4 linked regions of the Arabidopsis thaliana genome follow. The protein of the gene in region 1 interacts with the protein of each later gene in a pairwise test. Each region holds a gene or a part of one and is shown in the gene's direction. Other genes may lie near its edges.

The links.
Region 2: the proteins of AT4G17430 (region 1) and PSY1R interact in a protein complementation assay, tested with the Arabidopsis thaliana proteins (one large-scale study listed by BioGRID).
Region 3: the proteins of AT4G17430 (region 1) and COR314-TM2 interact in a protein complementation assay, tested with the Arabidopsis thaliana proteins (one large-scale study listed by BioGRID).
Region 4: the proteins of AT4G17430 (region 1) and PDLP8 interact in a protein complementation assay, tested with the Arabidopsis thaliana proteins (one large-scale study listed by BioGRID).

The regions. Positions count from the first base shown.
Region 1 is NC_003075.7:9,724,155-9,728,476, reverse strand, and holds AT4G17430 (O-fucosyltransferase family protein), read left to right. Parts: upstream 1-1,642; 5' UTR 1,643-1,675; coding exon 1,676-2,142; intron 2,143-2,219; coding exon 2,220-3,276; 3' UTR 3,277-3,767; downstream 3,768-4,322. Other genes in the region: AT4G17440 (chromogranin (DUF1639)), read right to left, coding at 57-629; AT4G17420 (Tryptophan RNA-binding attenuator protein-like protein), read left to right, coding at 4,034-4,081.
Region 2 is NC_003070.9:27,216,836-27,222,808, reverse strand, and holds PSY1R (Leucine-rich receptor-like protein kinase family protein), read left to right. Parts: upstream 1-1,543; 5' UTR 1,544-1,842; coding exon 1,843-5,130; 3' UTR 5,131-5,441; downstream 5,442-5,973. UniProt on the Arabidopsis thaliana protein: Tyrosine-sulfated glycopeptide receptor with a serine/threonine-protein kinase activity. Regulates, in response to tyrosine-sulfated glycopeptide binding, a signaling cascade involved in cellular proliferation and plant growth. Not involved in PSK perception.
Region 3 is NC_003070.9:10,285,520-10,289,881, reverse strand, and holds COR314-TM2 (cold regulated 314 thylakoid membrane 2), read left to right. Parts: upstream 1-1,977; 5' UTR 1,978-2,003; coding exon 2,004-2,146; exon of another isoform or gene 2,147-2,213; coding exon of another isoform or gene 2,214-2,227; coding exon 2,228-2,368; intron 2,369-2,613; coding exon 2,614-2,709; intron 2,710-2,835; coding exon 2,836-2,900; intron 2,901-3,153; coding exon 3,154-3,223; intron 3,224-3,307; coding exon 3,308-3,473; 3' UTR 3,474-3,815; downstream 3,816-4,362. Other genes in the region: COR413IM1 (COLD REGULATED 314 INNER MEMBRANE 1), read left to right, coding at 343-485, 569-706, 852-947, 1,076-1,140, 1,209-1,278, 1,372-1,537; AT1G29380 (Carbohydrate-binding X8 domain superfamily protein), read right to left, coding at 4,211-4,362.
Region 4 is NC_003074.8:22,439,765-22,444,389, forward strand, and holds PDLP8 (plasmodesmata-located protein 8), read left to right. Parts: upstream 1-2,006; 5' UTR 2,007-2,270; coding exon 2,271-2,997; coding exon of another isoform or gene 2,998-3,014; exon of another isoform or gene 3,015-3,609; coding exon 3,610-3,752; 3' UTR 3,753-3,839; coding exon of another isoform or gene 3,840-3,844; 3' UTR 3,845-4,110; downstream 4,111-4,625. Other genes in the region: AT3G60710 (F-box family protein), read left to right, coding at 434-609, 697-991, 1,137-1,277, 1,358-1,708. UniProt on the Arabidopsis thaliana protein: Modulates cell-to-cell trafficking.

The DNA.
Region 1 (4,322 bases):
GTAGTCATTGTTTTGAATTCTCTGTGAGGCAATTCGTCGAACACCTGGTGACTTACATCGAGATGTTTCTGCATAGCTTTTGCCCTCTTCCTTGGCCGGCGAGATGACCTGTTCCCACTCATGCTGAACAAATCTTCTTCGATCTCGTCTCGAGCTAGAGCAACCCAAAGCCTATGATTCTCGTTTGCAACCTCACCACCGCCTAATCCGGGTGATTCCGCCGGGATTCCTCTCTGCCTGTTCGATTTCGGCTCAATTCCTGCGCCTGATTTCTGATTCTTCACCTCCGAACCTCCTCCTCCGCCGCCACCGCAAACCTCCGCCGTGAACACGCCGTTTCCTTTCTTCGAACCACCATAAGCCTTCCTCGGACGAAGATTCCACGTCCTCTTCGCTTCCTCCTCCTCCGTTTCTTCTCTCTCCTTCACCGACACCGGCACTTCCTCTCTCGCGGGAGAAATCTCATCGGATTTCAGCTTCTTCAGGTTATCGTGCTCTGATGAGGGAGCAAAGGAGGAGAAAGAGAGACGCGGCTGACGACTTGACCGTGACGCCACGACACGGTTAGAAACAGCCACCGTCTCCGCCGATTGAGAAGCAGACCTCTCCGACTTGGAATTCGCAGACATTGGTATGAGATTATACCAAAACGTATTCACCTGAGAGATGATCAAAAACCCTAGAAGGTAAAAAGCAGAGAGGAGAGAGAGAGATGTAGGAGATTTACGGAAGCTGATGCATGCGTAAGTTTCTAATTATGTTTTTATTCATGGGGTGTTATTGGTTTATGATTTCAAAAGACTTTTAGTGTTTTAAAGTGTTATTTAGAATTTATTGTTATTCGATCACGATTTGTTAAAAGTATGTTATATTTTGTTGGCTAAAATAAATCATTAGTTAATTATTTTATATCCTGATATATCAACATCAATTATCATCCTTCTGATATGGGGATTAATATATGTTAACAATAAATCCAGAAAATTACGTTTAGATTTAGACATATAAATAAAGAGATCTTAAAGAAAAGAAGAGAAAAAAAAGAACCCGTAAAAAGCTTAAAAGACTACAACTGCTTAAGTCTATCAATGATGATCAATATATTCATGTAAGTGCTAAATAGGTTAATTTCTCTAGTGAATTCGATTTTGGACTAAAAATCAACAAATATTAGATCATCTAGTGAATTCGATTTCTCTAGGCCATCAAAGAATATTATTAGTTAGGTCCAAAGACCTAAATTTATTTTTGTGTATAAATTTAATAAAATAGAAATTTACATTTTGATATTTTTAATATTATTTTGGTGACAAAATATTTAGAAATTTTTTATATTTTTAAATATTCTTTTATTTTCATATATTTTTTATTTTATTTTACAAAAATTTAAAAAGAATAAAAATAAAAATAAGTTCATAAATATTAATTAGCAAGATATCTAATCTCCATTGCTTGTTTAAAATGTTATGTGGACGCGCAAATAGCTTCGTATAGATTATGTTACAAAAAGATTTCTAAAATTAACTATGTTTAAGTTCGTATTATTTTAGTTAAGGCCCATCAGAGAATATTAGTTAGGCCCAAAACAGTGACACTCACCGTTTTGGCATCTTCTACACATGAGCAAAACTAGACGCAACGCAATGATGGCGACTAAAACCTCAGAGCAAAAAACATGAACAACTTCTTCAATCCCAGTAGACCAAGCCCACGTCCATGGCCAAACAGGAAGAAGCAAACCGACAAATCTGCGATATTTCTTTGCTCCGTTTCTATACTTGTTGTGTTCTTCATCGTCGTCTTCTTCATCACTTACTCCGAGATGCCCAAGTCCTTGTTCTCAATCTCTGCATTTTCTGGATCCGTTCAATTCCCTCAGTGCAGATCCGAGATACTAACCCGAACTCTTCTAGGTCAGAAGTTTCTCTGGTACGCTCCTCACAGTGGATTCAGTAATCAGCTATCGGAATTTAAGAATGCGCTTCTTATGGCGGGAATTCTTAATCGGACCCTAATTATTCCTCCGATTCTGGATCATCACGCCGTTGCTCTCGGTAGTTGTCCTAAATTTAGGGTTTTGAGTCCCAGCGAGATACGAATCTCAGTTTGGAATCATTCAATTGAGCTTCTTAAGACTGACAGGTACAAAATCTCTTTTTTTTTTCGTAATGAGTTTTAGTAATTTGATCAATGTGGGTGACAAATGTTGGTGTTTATAGGTACGTTTCGATGGCTGATATTGTAGACATTTCGTCGCTGGTATCTTCTTCGGCTGTTCGAGTCATTGATTTTAGGTACTTTGCATCACTACAGTGTGGTGTTGACTTGGAGACTCTATGCACTGATGATTTAGCTGAACAGTCTCAGGCTTATGAGTCACTGAAACAGTGTGGCTATTTGTTATCTGGAGTTCGTGGTAATGTAGATAAATGTTTGTATGCTGTGGATGAAGATTGTAGAACCACTGTTTGGACTTATAAAAATGGAGAAGCTGATGGGAGATTAGATTCGTTCCAGCCTGATGAGAAGCTCAAGAAGAAAAAGAAATTGTCCAACGTGAGAAGGCGAAGAGATGTGTATAAGACTCTTGGACATGGTACAGAAGCTGAGTCTGCAGCTATTCTAGCATTTGGGAGCCTCTTCACAGCTCCATACAAAGGCTCAGAGCTGTATATCGATATCCATAAATCTCCAAAGATAAAATCTTTGGTTGAGAAGGTCGATTTCCTTCCTTTTGTTCGAGAGATAATGATCGCGGGAAAGAAATTTGCTTCAGAAACCATAAAGGCGCCGTTTCTTTGTGCACAACTTAGATTACTAGATGGCCAGTTCAAGAATCATCGGGAGAGCACTTTTACGGGTTTATATCAGAAGTTGGAAGCTTTGAGCGTTAAGAATCCTGGTCTAATTAATGTGTTTGTAATGACAGACCTTCCTGAATTTAACTGGACCGGAACTTACTTGGGTGATTTGTCTAAGAACTCTACAAATTTCAAGCTCCACTTTATAGGGGAACAAGATGAATTCTTAGCGCGAACAGAGCATGAACTTGATTCAGCGAGTCACGGCCAGAAATTTGGGTCTATTCCGATGAGTCTTGATAGTATAAAAAAGATGCAGACCCATTGTTACCCTCATGGAGGATCCAATGTGCAGCTTTACATAGAGGAAGCTGTTTGTAGCTGTGCTTCACTGGGTTTTGTTGGTACTCCAGGGTCTACAATAGCTGATAGTGTAGAGATGATGAGGAAATACAATGCGTGTAGTAGTAGTTGAACTCAGACTGCATTTCTATTGGATTCATCTGGTGGATGAGCCAATGTGTAGTGATTTTATTAAGTTTTGCCGGTCTTTGTATAGAGATGGATAGAGATAGATGATAGATCTGTCATCTGTCTCCACTTGAAGTTATTGGTGATGAAAACAGGCTCTTAAATTGTTTTGTGTTGTTAAGTTATTTGGGAAACTATCTAAGTTTCTTATTAATAGATGAAGCTACTTGGTTCCTTTCTGATTATTCACACACAACAATGGAAGAGTAAAGGTTGCGTGGGATGGTTGCTTAGTAAAGGTTTTGTGAGTTCTGTAGATGTCTCTAGTGGTCGACAAGATTTGTAATTGTTGTACCAATGTCTTTAAACCGGCTATTGAATAAGAAATTTTGTACCAAATAAATCTAGTGAAAGAGGGTTGGTTGAGAAGAAATGTAATTATATTAAACCGGAAATGAAATTTTACGTCGATGTGTATTTTGTGACCAATGAGATCTCTCCACGTAAACAGATTCCACGTGCAGCTTCAGGCCGATTTAAGCGAATTTAATCTGTCGTTTTGTTGGGTTCCCGTCGGTGACATCCACCGCGAACATTTCGACCGGAGTTTTGAGAGAGCTCAGAGTGTTTCGAGTGTGTTATTTGGATCTGCGATCTGATCGTCTCGCATCGACGTGAAAGGTTTTCTAATCCAATTGGTTCTGTGGAAATTTGGATTCGGAGGTTTTTGTTTGGAAGATCTTTCTGCGGTTTTCACCGCCATGGCTGCTCCGTTTTTCTCTACTCCATTTCAGCCTTATGTCTATCAGGTTTGTCTTCTATCTTCGTTCTCTTCTCGCCTCTTAGATTCGTATTCTTGTCTGTCACTATCGAGAAGGCTAGTGTTCGAATATACTTCTTCGCGAGTATTTTAGGATCCTTTCTCATGTAGGTGTTGAGTAATGTGATGTGTACTTACATCTAATTCAGTGATAATGCTAATAAGCTATTTCCTGGGTGAGAAATTGATCTCTTGAATGTGTCTGTGGGAGTATGAATCTCACAAGTGGT
Region 2 (5,973 bases), on another chromosome or scaffold:
GAAATATATTAGGTGGAAAATAAAATTATTAGAGATTCTATAAATTTGATTGAACATAATAAAAATTCAGTGGAAAAACATTAAAATAGATGTGATCGTCTTTTATCGAAAAGCTAATAATATATTATCGTTGTATAAAGTCACAAGAGTTTATTTTACGGTTTATTCTCAACAATCTGAGCCTCAGAATTCTAAATTTCCTTCTTTATTTTAGATGATAGAGAGATAAATAAAGCATACATAAAGGAGGTCCAACACAACTCCAAAAGATTGTTCGGTATTATTTAATGTCAAATCTTTATATTCGATTCCACTAAAGAGATAACTATTCTTACCATGTCTTCGTAAGCTCTATCATGTTAAATAATATTTAGATAGAAAAACAAATTCACACCATCATTACTTACTGCTCCTAAACACTAGTTAAAGTATTAAACGCATTAATCATGATAGATTCTATTTAATTGGACTTCGAAGAACTCTCTTTTTAAAACATCACTCCAAATAACTGTTTTTGATCGTCAATAATTCACAAAAACACAATTTCGGTTTTAAAATTAAGTAACTTCTTATGACTTATTCTAATCGTATGAAAGTGATAAATATAATATCACACAAAATCTATACTAATGTTTTTTTTTGGGTTATAGCCATTTAATAAGTACAATTTCTGAAAAGTCTAAGACAGTTAATTTAATACGGTATTGTTTAAAGTAACTTGTTAGCTATCATATACGCCATTTGCTCATTATAAATTACGAAAAGAAACACACACATGAACAGCTTGAAGGATTTTTATAACCCTAAGAAATCAAAAAGTCAAACAAAATAAATAGTATCCTTTACAAAAAAAAAATAGTTATCATATGATCTTCTTTATCTACTTTTCGTTCTTTATGACCACTATCTAATGTTAAATGTGGCTTCCACTTGGCATAATTAAACATAAAAAGATCCTCCATAAGGCAAAAAAGTAAAGAAAGAAATGGACAAAAATAAATAAAGATGAATTACATATTCTACAATTTTAGAGGATATAGAAAAAAGTTGTGTAACACCACCACCACTACGAGCCACTACTACTAAACCAGCCGCCCCAAAAGGTAAACGCCTCTACCACAAAAAATAATCATCATAATACTATTCTTCAACTTCTTCTTTTTTATTTATTTATTTTGATTTCATATCATAATGTTTGTACCCATCATTATTATTTTATGATCAAATTCAATTTCATGATCAACATCATAGCACGCACGCATGCACCTCCCACCTCCAAAGATTGAAATGACCCAATTTCAAAATAAATCACATAAAACGTTTTTTAATCTTTCTTAATCATGAATAAATGACAGAACAAAACCAGACAAATGAAATAAGTAAAACATTTTTCATTGGTTCATATAAGTAAGGATATATAGGGCTGACTTTAATAATTACCAGAGCTATTCAGAGAGTTGTACTTGAGCTTTTATTACAAAAAGGAATAATAATTTATATATATATATATATATATATATATATATATAACTTTTTAATCAAAAAAAAACTTTACATAAAAACAGCATACCCACAACCACAATCAGGGCAGAAAGATAACATGATAAAATAAAATAAAATTTAAAAGTGAACTTTGGGTGTGACAAGAAGTTTTCTTCTGTTTGGTCTGACTATTCCCTTTGGTCAACGATGGTATTGAGAGCCATTTACAAGCTTCGGACAGAGAAACCCAGATTGGATAATCATGTCTTTTGTTTCTTCTTTTCCCTCTCCTTCTTCTTCTTCTTTTTCAAGCTTTCTTAATCTTTCTCAGCTTCTTCTTCTTCTTCTTTTGTTCTCGCCATGATTGACGAGAAGATGAGATCTAAATCCATTGGTCCTTTTGTGAGACAAGTAAAACCTTTGAGTCCTCACATGGTTCTCTTTGTCCTTCTCTACGTTCTTTCCATTTCTGTCTTCTTTCTTACAGTTTCAGAGGCTGTTTGTAATCTTCAGGATCGAGATTCTCTCCTTTGGTTCTCTGGCAACGTATCATCTCCAGTCTCTCCTTTGCATTGGAATTCGTCCATTGATTGTTGCTCCTGGGAAGGAATCTCTTGTGATAAGTCTCCTGAAAATCGTGTTACTTCGATTATTTTGTCCTCTAGAGGACTCTCTGGCAATCTTCCGTCGTCTGTTTTGGATCTCCAGCGTCTCTCTCGTCTCGACCTTTCTCATAACCGTCTCTCTGGTCCACTCCCACCTGGTTTCCTCTCTGCCCTTGATCAGCTCTTGGTTCTTGATCTTAGTTACAACAGTTTCAAAGGTGAATTGCCACTTCAACAATCATTTGGCAATGGAAGCAACGGAATCTTCCCAATTCAGACCGTTGATCTCTCCAGCAATCTTCTTGAGGGAGAAATTCTCAGTAGTTCTGTTTTTCTTCAGGGTGCTTTCAATTTAACCAGTTTCAATGTCAGCAACAACAGCTTCACGGGTTCTATCCCTTCCTTCATGTGCACAGCTTCGCCGCAGCTCACCAAACTGGATTTCTCCTACAATGATTTCAGCGGTGATCTCTCTCAAGAATTAAGCAGATGCTCGAGGCTAAGTGTTCTTCGAGCAGGCTTCAACAATCTCTCTGGTGAAATCCCCAAAGAAATCTACAATCTTCCTGAGCTCGAGCAACTCTTTTTACCAGTCAACCGTCTTTCTGGCAAAATTGATAATGGGATTACTCGTCTCACCAAACTGACATTGCTTGAGCTTTACTCTAATCACATCGAAGGAGAAATACCCAAGGATATAGGTAAGCTTTCGAAACTGAGTAGCCTCCAACTCCATGTCAATAACCTCATGGGTTCTATCCCGGTTTCTCTCGCCAATTGCACAAAACTCGTGAAGTTGAATTTACGGGTTAATCAGCTGGGAGGAACTTTATCGGCGATAGACTTTTCCCGGTTTCAGAGCCTCAGCATTCTGGACCTCGGAAACAATAGCTTCACCGGCGAATTTCCCTCCACGGTTTACTCATGCAAAATGATGACAGCAATGAGGTTTGCAGGCAACAAGTTAACGGGACAGATATCTCCTCAAGTACTGGAATTGGAATCCCTGTCGTTCTTTACTTTTTCAGACAATAAAATGACGAACCTTACAGGGGCTCTCAGCATTCTACAAGGCTGCAAGAAGCTTTCTACTCTCATTATGGCAAAGAATTTTTACGACGAAACGGTACCAAGCAACAAAGACTTTCTTCGGTCAGATGGATTTCCAAGCCTCCAAATTTTTGGTATCGGTGCGTGCAGATTGACAGGTGAAATACCAGCTTGGCTGATCAAGCTCCAGAGGGTAGAAGTTATGGACCTGTCCATGAACCGATTCGTGGGGACAATTCCTGGTTGGCTAGGAACTCTTCCAGACCTTTTCTACTTGGATCTTTCCGATAACTTTCTAACAGGAGAGCTTCCAAAGGAACTGTTTCAGCTGAGAGCTCTGATGTCGCAAAAGGCATACGATGCAACAGAGCGGAACTATCTGGAGCTGCCGGTTTTTGTCAATCCCAATAATGTCACCACTAATCAGCAATACAATCAGCTTTCCAGCCTCCCACCTACGATATACATCAAGAGGAACAACTTGACTGGGACTATACCAGTCGAGGTTGGGCAGCTAAAGGTTCTCCATATCCTGGAGCTTCTAGGTAATAATTTTTCTGGCAGCATCCCAGATGAATTGTCAAACCTCACTAACTTAGAGAGGCTGGACCTGTCCAACAACAATCTCTCCGGTAGAATTCCATGGTCACTCACTGGACTCCATTTCCTGTCATATTTCAATGTTGCAAACAACACTCTCAGTGGGCCGATACCCACAGGGACCCAGTTTGATACCTTCCCAAAAGCAAATTTTGAAGGAAACCCCTTGCTGTGCGGTGGTGTACTGCTAACCTCCTGCGATCCAACTCAGCACTCTACTACAAAGATGGGTAAAGGAAAGGTCAACAGAACGCTTGTTTTGGGGCTTGTCCTTGGGCTTTTTTTTGGCGTCAGTTTGATTTTGGTGCTGCTAGCTCTGTTGGTGCTTTCTAAAAGGAGAGTAAATCCAGGAGACTCTGAGAATGCTGAACTGGAGATAAATTCCAATGGCTCGTATTCTGAAGTCCCTCCAGGGTCGGATAAAGACATAAGTCTTGTACTGTTGTTTGGAAACAGTAGATATGAAGTAAAAGACCTGACCATATTTGAGCTCTTGAAAGCTACCGACAACTTCAGTCAAGCTAATATAATTGGCTGCGGCGGGTTTGGCCTTGTCTATAAGGCTACCTTGGATAATGGAACGAAACTGGCGGTTAAGAAACTCACAGGAGACTATGGTATGATGGAAAAGGAATTCAAGGCAGAGGTAGAAGTTCTGTCCAGGGCGAAACATGAGAACCTGGTCGCTCTACAAGGTTATTGCGTCCATGATAGTGCCCGGATACTAATTTACTCGTTCATGGAGAATGGTAGTCTGGATTATTGGCTGCACGAAAATCCTGAGGGTCCAGCTCAGCTGGATTGGCCAAAAAGACTCAACATTATGAGAGGAGCAAGTAGTGGACTAGCATACATGCACCAGATATGTGAACCACACATAGTACACCGAGACATCAAGTCCAGCAACATCCTTTTGGATGGAAATTTCAAGGCATATGTAGCAGATTTCGGGTTGTCAAGATTGATCCTTCCATATCGCACCCATGTAACAACTGAGCTAGTGGGCACATTGGGTTACATTCCCCCAGAGTATGGACAAGCTTGGGTAGCCACTTTGAGAGGTGACGTGTACAGTTTTGGTGTAGTCATGCTCGAGCTTCTCACAGGGAAAAGACCAATGGAGGTTTTCAGGCCAAAGATGTCAAGAGAATTGGTCGCATGGGTGCATACTATGAAAAGAGATGGGAAACCAGAGGAAGTGTTTGATACATTGCTGAGAGAAAGTGGAAATGAAGAAGCGATGCTTCGTGTGCTTGACATAGCCTGCATGTGTGTGAACCAAAATCCAATGAAAAGACCAAACATTCAACAAGTTGTAGACTGGCTAAAGAATATAGAAGCGGAGAAAAACCAAAATAACAGAGAAGAACCTGAAGAAGAAGAAGAGACGTAACTGTGTGTGTGCCTTCCTTCCCTACATTCATCATTGTGACCAGATTCAAATATCTGCATAAGTAAATATACACATATTTTTCTTGTCAATTGCATATGTTAACCATCATTTCCATGTAAATTATAATTTTGATGGTAATAGAAGCTTTGATGATGTAAAGAACAGGAATTTATGCAGCTCGTGACATTCAAACGATTTCTATATACATGTAGCTCTCTAGCTATGTAAAACCCTTTGGCTTTAACATGATCAAAAGCAGATTTTTATAAAAGGATTTGATTAGAAATCTGGAATGTATCGTATGATCAAACCAACTTTGGCTTCCATGAAATTTCTCCGTTCTTAAGAGGTCTAAGAAAACAAAAAAATCTGTGATGCTAACAGAATAACTCAAGTGGGGTCTGTAAGCGGCATTTAATCGAACATTTGGTGTGCATAGTTACCAAAGAGACATTGAGTGAAAAGAAAGAGTCGTATGACGCGCGAAAGAAGACAAAGCATGAGAATCTGAGAAACTGAGACATACCTAAACATCAATGGAAGATTCAGAGACAGAGAGAGAGAGAGAAAAAAAGAGAGAGGTTTTTGTGAAACGAAAGCTTTTGATTTAGACTTTTAAAACTTATTGGATAATATATGTCTTGCTAAACGTCGTCGTTTTGAGTGTTTTTGGGAAAATAAGCTATATAGAGTAACGCCAAAAAAAGAAACCCTATCGTGATCAAAAGAATAGTGTTACGTTTCTTTGTTGATAAAACCTTGAGATACTCCTCAAATATCTTAATCTCTCAATTAAGCAAGAGACATACACGTTTATTTATCCGGTTTGATTAGTCGATGTCA
Region 3 (4,362 bases), on another chromosome or scaffold:
TGATAAGACTTGCAATATATATAAATAAAAAAACTAGTGAAATTATCTATGATCGACATGAAATTTTGTCATGTTCCAATGAATTAGATATGGTAAAGCTGACGTGGTATCCTAAGTGGGGTGGATTTGAATTGGAGTTGATTCCAACGGTGGAGATTCAAAGATTCTTTGATTGATAGTGAGCGACTCTCGTTTTCCAATCACGTGTAACTCGGCTCCACTCTAAAGCACGAAATCAACACGTCCACGTAACGATCATATATTCATGCAGTGATATAGTCGTTTAACAGAAAGATCACTCCGTCAATCTTTCCACCACTGTGACTAAATCTAAACAATTTCATGGCGAGTCTCTGTCTCTCATCGTCCCGGATCGTTTCTCTTCACCACCAGAAACCATTCCTCTCTCTTAAACTCCGGTCTCGTCCTTCAGATCTCTCCGGTCTAGGTCGCCACACGAGTCCTGTTTGCTTCAATCCGCTTAGGTACCGTATAGTGAAAACAATGGATTTGGGATTCTTTCGAGTCATGCATTTTGTGTAACTCTTTTTGTTTGTAATGTTTCTAGGTTATCGGGTGATCGTCAGCGAACCGCTACGGTATCAACGAGGGTGGAGAAGCGGCGAAAGAGAGGATCGAGTGTGGTCTGTTATGCTGCTCCGATTTCTGCCAATAGTCTACAATGGATCTCCACCATTTCTTGCCTGTATGATCTCTCTCATTTACTGTGATTTTCTTAACACATAATGCTGGTGAAATTATGCTAATGATGATTGTGTAATTTCCTCTGTTTTCATCATAACGTCAATAACATAAGTTAATTGCTATACTGAATGGTGTTTCATTTCTAGTGCATTGATGCTTGCAAGGGGTACTGGTATACATAAGTCAGTTGTTGTTCCACTATTCGCTCTCCACGCACCATCGAGCATCGTCGCCTGGATTAAGTAAGCTTTTAACATGGAGATATATTCATTAACATGGTGATATATATGGGTCTCTCTTCTTCTTTTTGCATGCTTGAGCAGCCTATTGAAGTCATTAAACTTAAACTTGTGTATCTTTATTTTTGTAGGGGAGAGTATGGTGTATGGGCAGCATTCTTGGCGCTTATTGCTCGACTTTTCTTCACTTTTCCAGGTTCGTAATCATCTTCAATATGTAGGTTGATTACAAGTTATTAATTAATTAAAGTTATACATTAATAGGTGAACTTGAGCTTCCATTCATCGCATTACTCTTGGTGATTGTGGCGCCATATCAAGTCATGAACATAAGGTTAGAATCTTAAAGAATGTAATGTTTTAATATATATCAAGGTTTTCTTTTCTTTAGTCGCCGAGACTCATTGACTTCATTATAAACTTGCAGAGGGAAGCAAGAAGGGGCAATCATAGCAATAGCAATATCTGGTTTTCTGGCTTTCCAACATTTCTCACGAGCAGGGAGCTTGGAGAAAGCATATGAGAAGGGTTCAGTTCTTGCCACTGTAGCCATTATTGGTGTCACAGTTGTATCGCTCCTTTTGTTGCTATAACTATATGCTCCTGACCAAAAATGTTAATCAGTGTAAGAATGTGTGTGAAGGAAAAAAAAGAAAGATGTGCTTGCATTTATCCGCTCTTTAAGAAATGCTGGTACATTTTTGGCAACTATTCGCTGGCAATAAAAATGATCTTTCATGTACAAACGTAAAAACAATACACATTTAAAATCTTTGGTCGACATGGGATTGGGATATTTAAAAGCTGACGTGGAATCCTACGTGGTTAGATTTGCAGTCGTATTGATGCCAACAACGGTGGAGATTCAAGATTCTTTGATTGATTGTGAACTAAACGACTGTCGTTTTCCAAACACGTATTTATGGGCCCCACTTTAAAAGCATTCCCGCTAAATCTACACCGTCCACGTAGCGATCATGATATTGATGCAAATGATTCAATTTTAACGGAAAGATGACGGAGTGATCTTTCCACCACCGTAACTAATCTTAACAATTCATGGCGAGTCTCTGTCTCTCATCGTCCCGGATCGTTTCTCTTCACCACCAGAAACCCTTTCTCGCTCTTAAACTCCGGCCTCGTCCTTCAAATATCTCCGGTCTAGGTCACAGTACTAGTGTTGTTTGCTTCAATCCGTTAAGGTATAGTGACACAGAAACACCCGATTCATAAATTCTCAATCAGTGGATTTTGGCTTTTTCTAAATGAATGTTGGTTGGTAGGTTATCGGCTGATCGTCAGCGAACCGCTACGGTGTCGGCGAGGGCTGAGAAGCGGCGAAAGAGAGGATCGAGTGTGGTCTGTTATGCTACTCCAATGTTGTCTGTTCATAATCTACAATGGATCTCGACAATTTCTTGCGTGTATGATCTCTCACTCTCATTAGCTGTGAATTTTAACGCAGAATGCTGCTGAAGATATGCTAATGTATGAAGTTTCTTACAAGTTTAGCTTAATCGGATAATAGCAAATGATTGTACAGGGAAATAGTTTAGCTTCAATTCATGTGTGAAAGTGATTTGTGATAGATAATTGTATAATTTCCACTGATTCATAATGTCAGCAGCATATAAGTTCATTTCTATACTGAATGTTGTTTCTTTTCTAGTGCATTGATGTTTGCAAGGGGTACTGGTATCCATAAGTCCTTTGTTGTTCCACTATTCGCACTACAAGCACCAATGGGCATTGTCTCCTGGATGAAGTAAGCTTTTTTTAATGCTCATTTACCTATGCTTGTGGATTTTATTCCTTTTTTTGCTATTCTGGATGACAGAAATTTTCATACTCTGCGTCTTGAATTCATCACACTTTTGCATCTAACTTGCAGGGGTGAATATGGCATCTGGGCAGCATTCTTGGCGCTTCTTACTCGACTGTTCTTCTCTTTTCCAGGTTCGTATTCGTCTTCAAGTAGGTTGGGTTATAGGTTGTTGAATTCTAGTGTTGGATTTTTTTTAGTTCAGTTGCCATTTACTAGAAAAGAAATTGGAATGAAACTCATGCTAATTTTCGACGTCAGGGGCTAAAATTTCCATTACTAAGACATGCTGAAAGGAATCACGCATGTTTTATCAGATCTTCATGTTAAATAAGAGTGTGCCTGCCTTTGTATGTTTTTAATTCTTATACAATGCCTTGTTTATAGTTGAACTTGAGCTGCCCTTCATTGCTTTGCTTTTGGTGATTGTGGCGCCATATCAAGTTATGAGCATAAGGTTAGATTCTCAAAAAGAGTGTAATGTTTCAGATCAAGGTTTTATTTTCTTTAGTCAAGACTCATTGAATTTATACGCTTGCAGAGGGAAACAGGAAGGTGCTATCCTTTCTTTAGCAATCTCTTGTTTTCTGGCTTTCCAGCATTTCTCAAGAGCAGGCACCTTGCAGAAAGCATTTGATCAGAATTCAGTTCTTGCCACTGTAGCCATAATTGGTGTCACAGTTGTATCGTTCCTTTTCTTGATATAAATATGCTCCTGACAAAAGGACTCATCTGTAAATCACTGTAACAAAGTGTATACAGAGACTAGAAATAATGTGCTGTATTATTTACTCGATTTCAATACTCAATTCAACGTGCTTGCATTTATCCGCTCTTTATGAGATGCTTGTATTTGCTACTATTCGTTGCTAACAGATTGATCTTTAGCCGCATATGATTCCACAAGGAACCAGATCAAAAATTTCAGCTTATAAGATTATGAGCTGAAAAGAGCATATTAAAGATATTGTCATCCTTTTAGAAACTGTTTGGAAATGCTGCAGGTATCATGGAGCTTGTCTGTCATTTTCGGTGTGCCTACTTGTTTTAGAGTGCTGCAGGTATGTATCTGCTTCAAGTAGCTTTCATTTTATTTTCTGTTATATCTTTCTAATAGTTAATAATGTCTGACATTGCTTTTGTATTTCTTAACCGTTCCCTAAGTATTTTATTTTCTAAAACTGTAAAGAGATACATTATGCTTAATGTGTCTACAAGAATGTATATATCCTAAGCCCTTTGATTTTGTAGTATCTCCTACTAAATAAATATACTTTCAGTGATAAACTATAGCAATAGAACAGATGGTGAGAATTAGGTCATGGATTAAAATCTTCTTGCAAATCACAGCTGCTTTCTTGAGCTCCATAGATCGCATCATAGTTATGGAAAACGCGCTTCATAATTTGCAGAGAATGATTGAAACCCTGAAACTATTGTCTGTTTAAAGATAATTTTCCCTGAGCAGTGGCATTAGTATCCCAACTGCTGTAAATATTGAGAGAAGGCTATGTGATACAGAGGTTGCTGAATTCGGAAGCCCTGTTGGCTCTGCTACGCCGAAGGGTGGTCCAGAGCCAGTTATGCCTGTAGTTG
Region 4 (4,625 bases), on another chromosome or scaffold:
TTAATAAGAAAGAAAGAGTAACGAAAAATAGAAATTAACCTCATACATAATAATTGTGATATACGTATACCCTAGTCATGTCTCGAAAGCTCGTTATTGTAAAAAAAGTAGAAACACTCTCTTTAGACCAGAGTCTTTAGAAGATAAGATACTTTTTTAACGTGAAACCAAAACCCTTCTTTCCATAAACTCGTCTCAAATTTTTTGGTTTATTAGGTTTTGGAAATATCTGAGAGTGCTCTGCTCGTACGTTGATTGTGAACTTGATCTCAACTTAATTTGCTTTCTATGAATGCGATTTCGTGTTAACTGGTCTAGAAATTTCTACGACTCATGTTGCAGAACGCGGTTTAATTTTGATTTGTTTTCTTAGACCTTAGCTAATAAATACCGTGTCTTTGTCTCTTTGTTCTGTTGATCAATTTAGGGACCAATGGAAGATTTGATAAGCCAATTGCCCAATGAGTTGCTGCAAGAGATACTCTTGAATCTTCCCACGAGTGAGTCTGTTAGGACAAGTGTCTTACCGACAAGATGGAGAAATCTCTGGCAAAGTGTTCCTGGTTTGTACCTAATTTCTCGACAGATTCTTAAATTTGTAAACTTGCGGTTAGAATATGTAATTCTGGATGATTTTGATAGTTGTGAGTCTTTCTATCTACCTCACCTTGAGGTTATGCATTTAGGGTTTCGCAGTACACCGAGTGATGTGGTTCTAGAGATGCTTATCTCGTGCTCTCCTGTTCTTCAAGTCTTGAGCATTTGTGATGTTGGAGTTGACTTTTTGAAAGTGCGATCTCAGACGTTAAGGAGCTTGAGTCTATGGACATTTATCTTTAAGGGAGAAAATGATGATGTCTCCTTGGGTGATGATGGAGAATCTGGACTTGTGATTGACACTCCTAGCTTAGAGTTTCTGCGTATCAGAGATTTTCCATTGGAAGACTTCAGAGTGGAAAGTGTTATTTCTTCTATCAAGATGTGTATCGATGTACGGTTTTATGGGGAGATGACTTTTCAAACACGCAAACTTTGCACAAGTTTTTTGCTGAGTTCTCGGAGGTCACAGATCTTAGCATCTCTGGCCATACTCTAGATGCATGTATTTGTTCTTACCAAGTGTTGGTTCTTGACAGGGAACCTATGCTTACACAAAACTGCAACAACTGCCTGAATTCAAGAACTTGACCCGTTTGTACGCTTTTCTCCATACCGACTATTCAGAGATGTTGCCTATATATCTCTCCAGCAGTCCCAACCTAAAATCTATTGACTTGGTAATGATTCCTTCTCTTGGTATTGAGAGTAGCGAGTGACTATATATATTATACATGTCTTATGGTGTTTTCCTTTGTAGGAGCTTCATGGTTATCCAAAGATGGAGGAAATTGCAAGCTCACCAGTGCCAAAATGTCTCCAAACATCCATTGAGAATGTCAAAATAAAAATGACGCCCAAGGCTGACCAAGAGAAAAGCCGAAAAGCTGAAACCGAGGTTGCTAACTACATCTTAGAGAATGCAACACTTCTGAAGCTCACTCTATGGTTAGATGATGAAGAAGAAGACGAGTCTAGCAGCGTCCTTGAGAAAATTCTCACCTTTCAAAATTACTCTTTTGTAGAGGTGAAGATAGGTCGAGAAGCATCGAAATTTCGCCTAGGTTATACATTTGATGAAGCTAAGCACTTTAGTCGTCGTTTTCTTTAAATCTCTTATGATCAATCTAATTAGCCCTTTTGGTCGTGGTCAGGATTTAAAGAAAGTTGTTTCTATCACTTGAAAATTCTCCACTAACTTGATGAGAATATGTGTGATGGAATCGATCTAGCGAACATATACTAATCAAAAGGACATGCCTAAAATGGGACCCTCTTTGCACAAAAGAAGTTTCAAGATATTATTATACCCACAAAACCAAATCTTCTTTAATCATGTCTAAATCATTTTAGGCACTCTTAACAAAACAATAATGTTATCATCCAATTTGTCTACACTTTGGTATTGATTCGTTACAAGTGAATGTTCTAGACCACGTTTGTTGATCTATTATGTAGTTTTGTATTCATCCTAGCTACATTTATATATATCCACTTATTTCTTAACTACGGTATGCATTATACATGTTTGTATTAATGTCGCCGATAAAAGTTTCGGACCCATAGTGATGAATAATCATTCTCGATTATTATTGTTAAATAAAACACTACAAGGAATAAGATAGATCAAAAACGAAAGCTCCTTTGAAAACAATCTCAAAGAACAAGAAAATATGAGAAGACTCTTTCTCTTCTCTCTCCTCTTTTTATTCTTTTACTCATCCTCCTCCTCAAGATCTTCATCAGAATCTCACATCTTCATCTACGGAGGATGTTCACCGGAAAAATACACACCAAACACACCTTTTGAGTCAAACCGCGACACTTTCCTCTCCTCTGTCGTCACTTCCTCCTCTGACGCGTCCTTCAACAGCTTTGCCGTCGGCAACGACTCCTCCTCCTCCTCATCCTCTTCCGCCGTCTTCGGCCTCTATCAATGCCGTGACGATCTCCGATCATCAGACTGCTCAAAATGCATCCAAACCTCAGTCGATCAAATCACTCTCATTTGTCCTTACTCTTACGGCGCTTCTCTCCAGCTCGAAGGCTGCTTCTTACGTTACGAAACAAACGATTTTCTAGGGAAACCAGACACAAGTCTTAGGTACAAGAAGTGTAGTTCCAAGAGCGTTGAGAATGACTACGATTTCTTTAAGCGGAGAGACGATGTGTTGTCGGATCTTGAGTCGACTCAACTCGGTTACAAAGTTAGCCGGTCCGGTTTAGTCGAAGGTTATGCTCAGTGTGTTGGTGACTTGAGTCCTAGTGACTGTACGGCTTGTCTTGCCGAGTCTGTCGGAAAATTAAAGAATCTTTGTGGCTCGGCGGTTGCAGCTGAGGTTTACTTGGCTCAGTGCTATGCTCGTTATTGGGGCTCTGGTTACTATGACTTCTCTTCAGGTCAGTCCATAAATTAAAATCTTTATTTCATTTATTAGCTATTGCTCTAATTTACGTAAGTTCTTTAATTATATTCGTGAATCATGCTTAGTGCCATGATAATATAATTGAAAATTGTAGTAATGAACTGTATAGAAATGTGTGAGAATTTGACAAAATTTAAATTTCCGCCGCTTATAATTGAGAAAATCACAAGTCTAGTCGCTCCTTGGTAGCACGAGAAAGTTGAAGAAATCATAAAATTTTCGTTGCTTTTTTTTTTTTGTAATTTCCACTGGAAAGACACCATTAAGTATTGAATAAAATAGAATTAATCTTTTGAATCATTCGTTGGAAAATTCGAGTATCATGATTATAATATCATTGGTCAGAAAAGAATGTTTTTGCAATATATTATTCTTTTCTTTATAGGCATAGCCACCCATGTCCCCATTTTCAACTTTATTTTATATATTCTTTATAGCTTGATCAATATCACATAGTCCAAAAGTCATTGCATCTTAGAAAATCTAATTCTTAGCTTGATACTATATTGTCCTTATCTTATGTACTTTAATTTGTCACATACAATATTAAGATCTTTTTAAATTTGATCTAATTTTCGTTATTAAGATCCAACGAATGGAGATCACGTGGGGAAATCAATCGCGATCATCGTAGGAGTCATTGCTGGATTCGCAATTCTTGTTGTTCTCCTCTCCCTTTGTAGAAACTCCATGCGTAAGTCTATACTTACTTGCCTAATCTTCACATGATTAAGATTTAAGATCAAATCACTCATTTTTAGTATATATTTAGAAATAAGTATCATGATCTCATAATTTTTCTTATCTGATTTGCAGATTGATATAATGAAAGGCATGATTCGGGATACAAGATTCTAGGGACCTGTTTTTTTTTTTTTGAACTCTCTTGTATTCCACTATTCCTTTTATTTTGTAGGAGGAACACATCCGTTACCGTTCCTTGCTGAAATTTTTGGTTTATCAAAAGGAAAACTATTAGTGACTGATGATATAATGATTTTTAGCTTTGAGGTATTAAATATTTGTATAGTGTGACCCGTATTGTCTGCCTTAAAAAGATGCTAACTTTATTCCATTAACTAGTTTTAGACTAAAATCCACTTTCCTTAGCAGGCGCAATTATTCGATACTCATACTTAGATAAGTAGATTATCATTTCCGGAGAACAACGTGATTCGATCGATTGAGTATCATTAAACTTTAAAAGGTTCTGCCGGCAAAAAAAAAAAAGAAGAAGGCTTATAAGACTTGAGAGGTTCCATTCAATCAATTCTTTGGTTTTCTACGATCCGGATCTACCCGGTTCTCATGGGTTTCACCACATATTCCATTGAGCCATTAAATTATTATGGACTGGGCCTCGGCCTACTAAGCTTCTAAGCCGTGTAACATATCTAAAAGACTAAAACATTTTCCATGCAACCATTCCTTTTTTTTTGTATTTTTTTAAAAATTAATTCAAGAAATTCTTTTACCAAAAACATATAAACCCATGACAAAAATAGTAATTTTCACTAATGTTACAACATATTACTCCAACAAAATTATTACTTTATATATTATTCTATTAAAATATAACTGATCATTCATGGATTTTGTTTT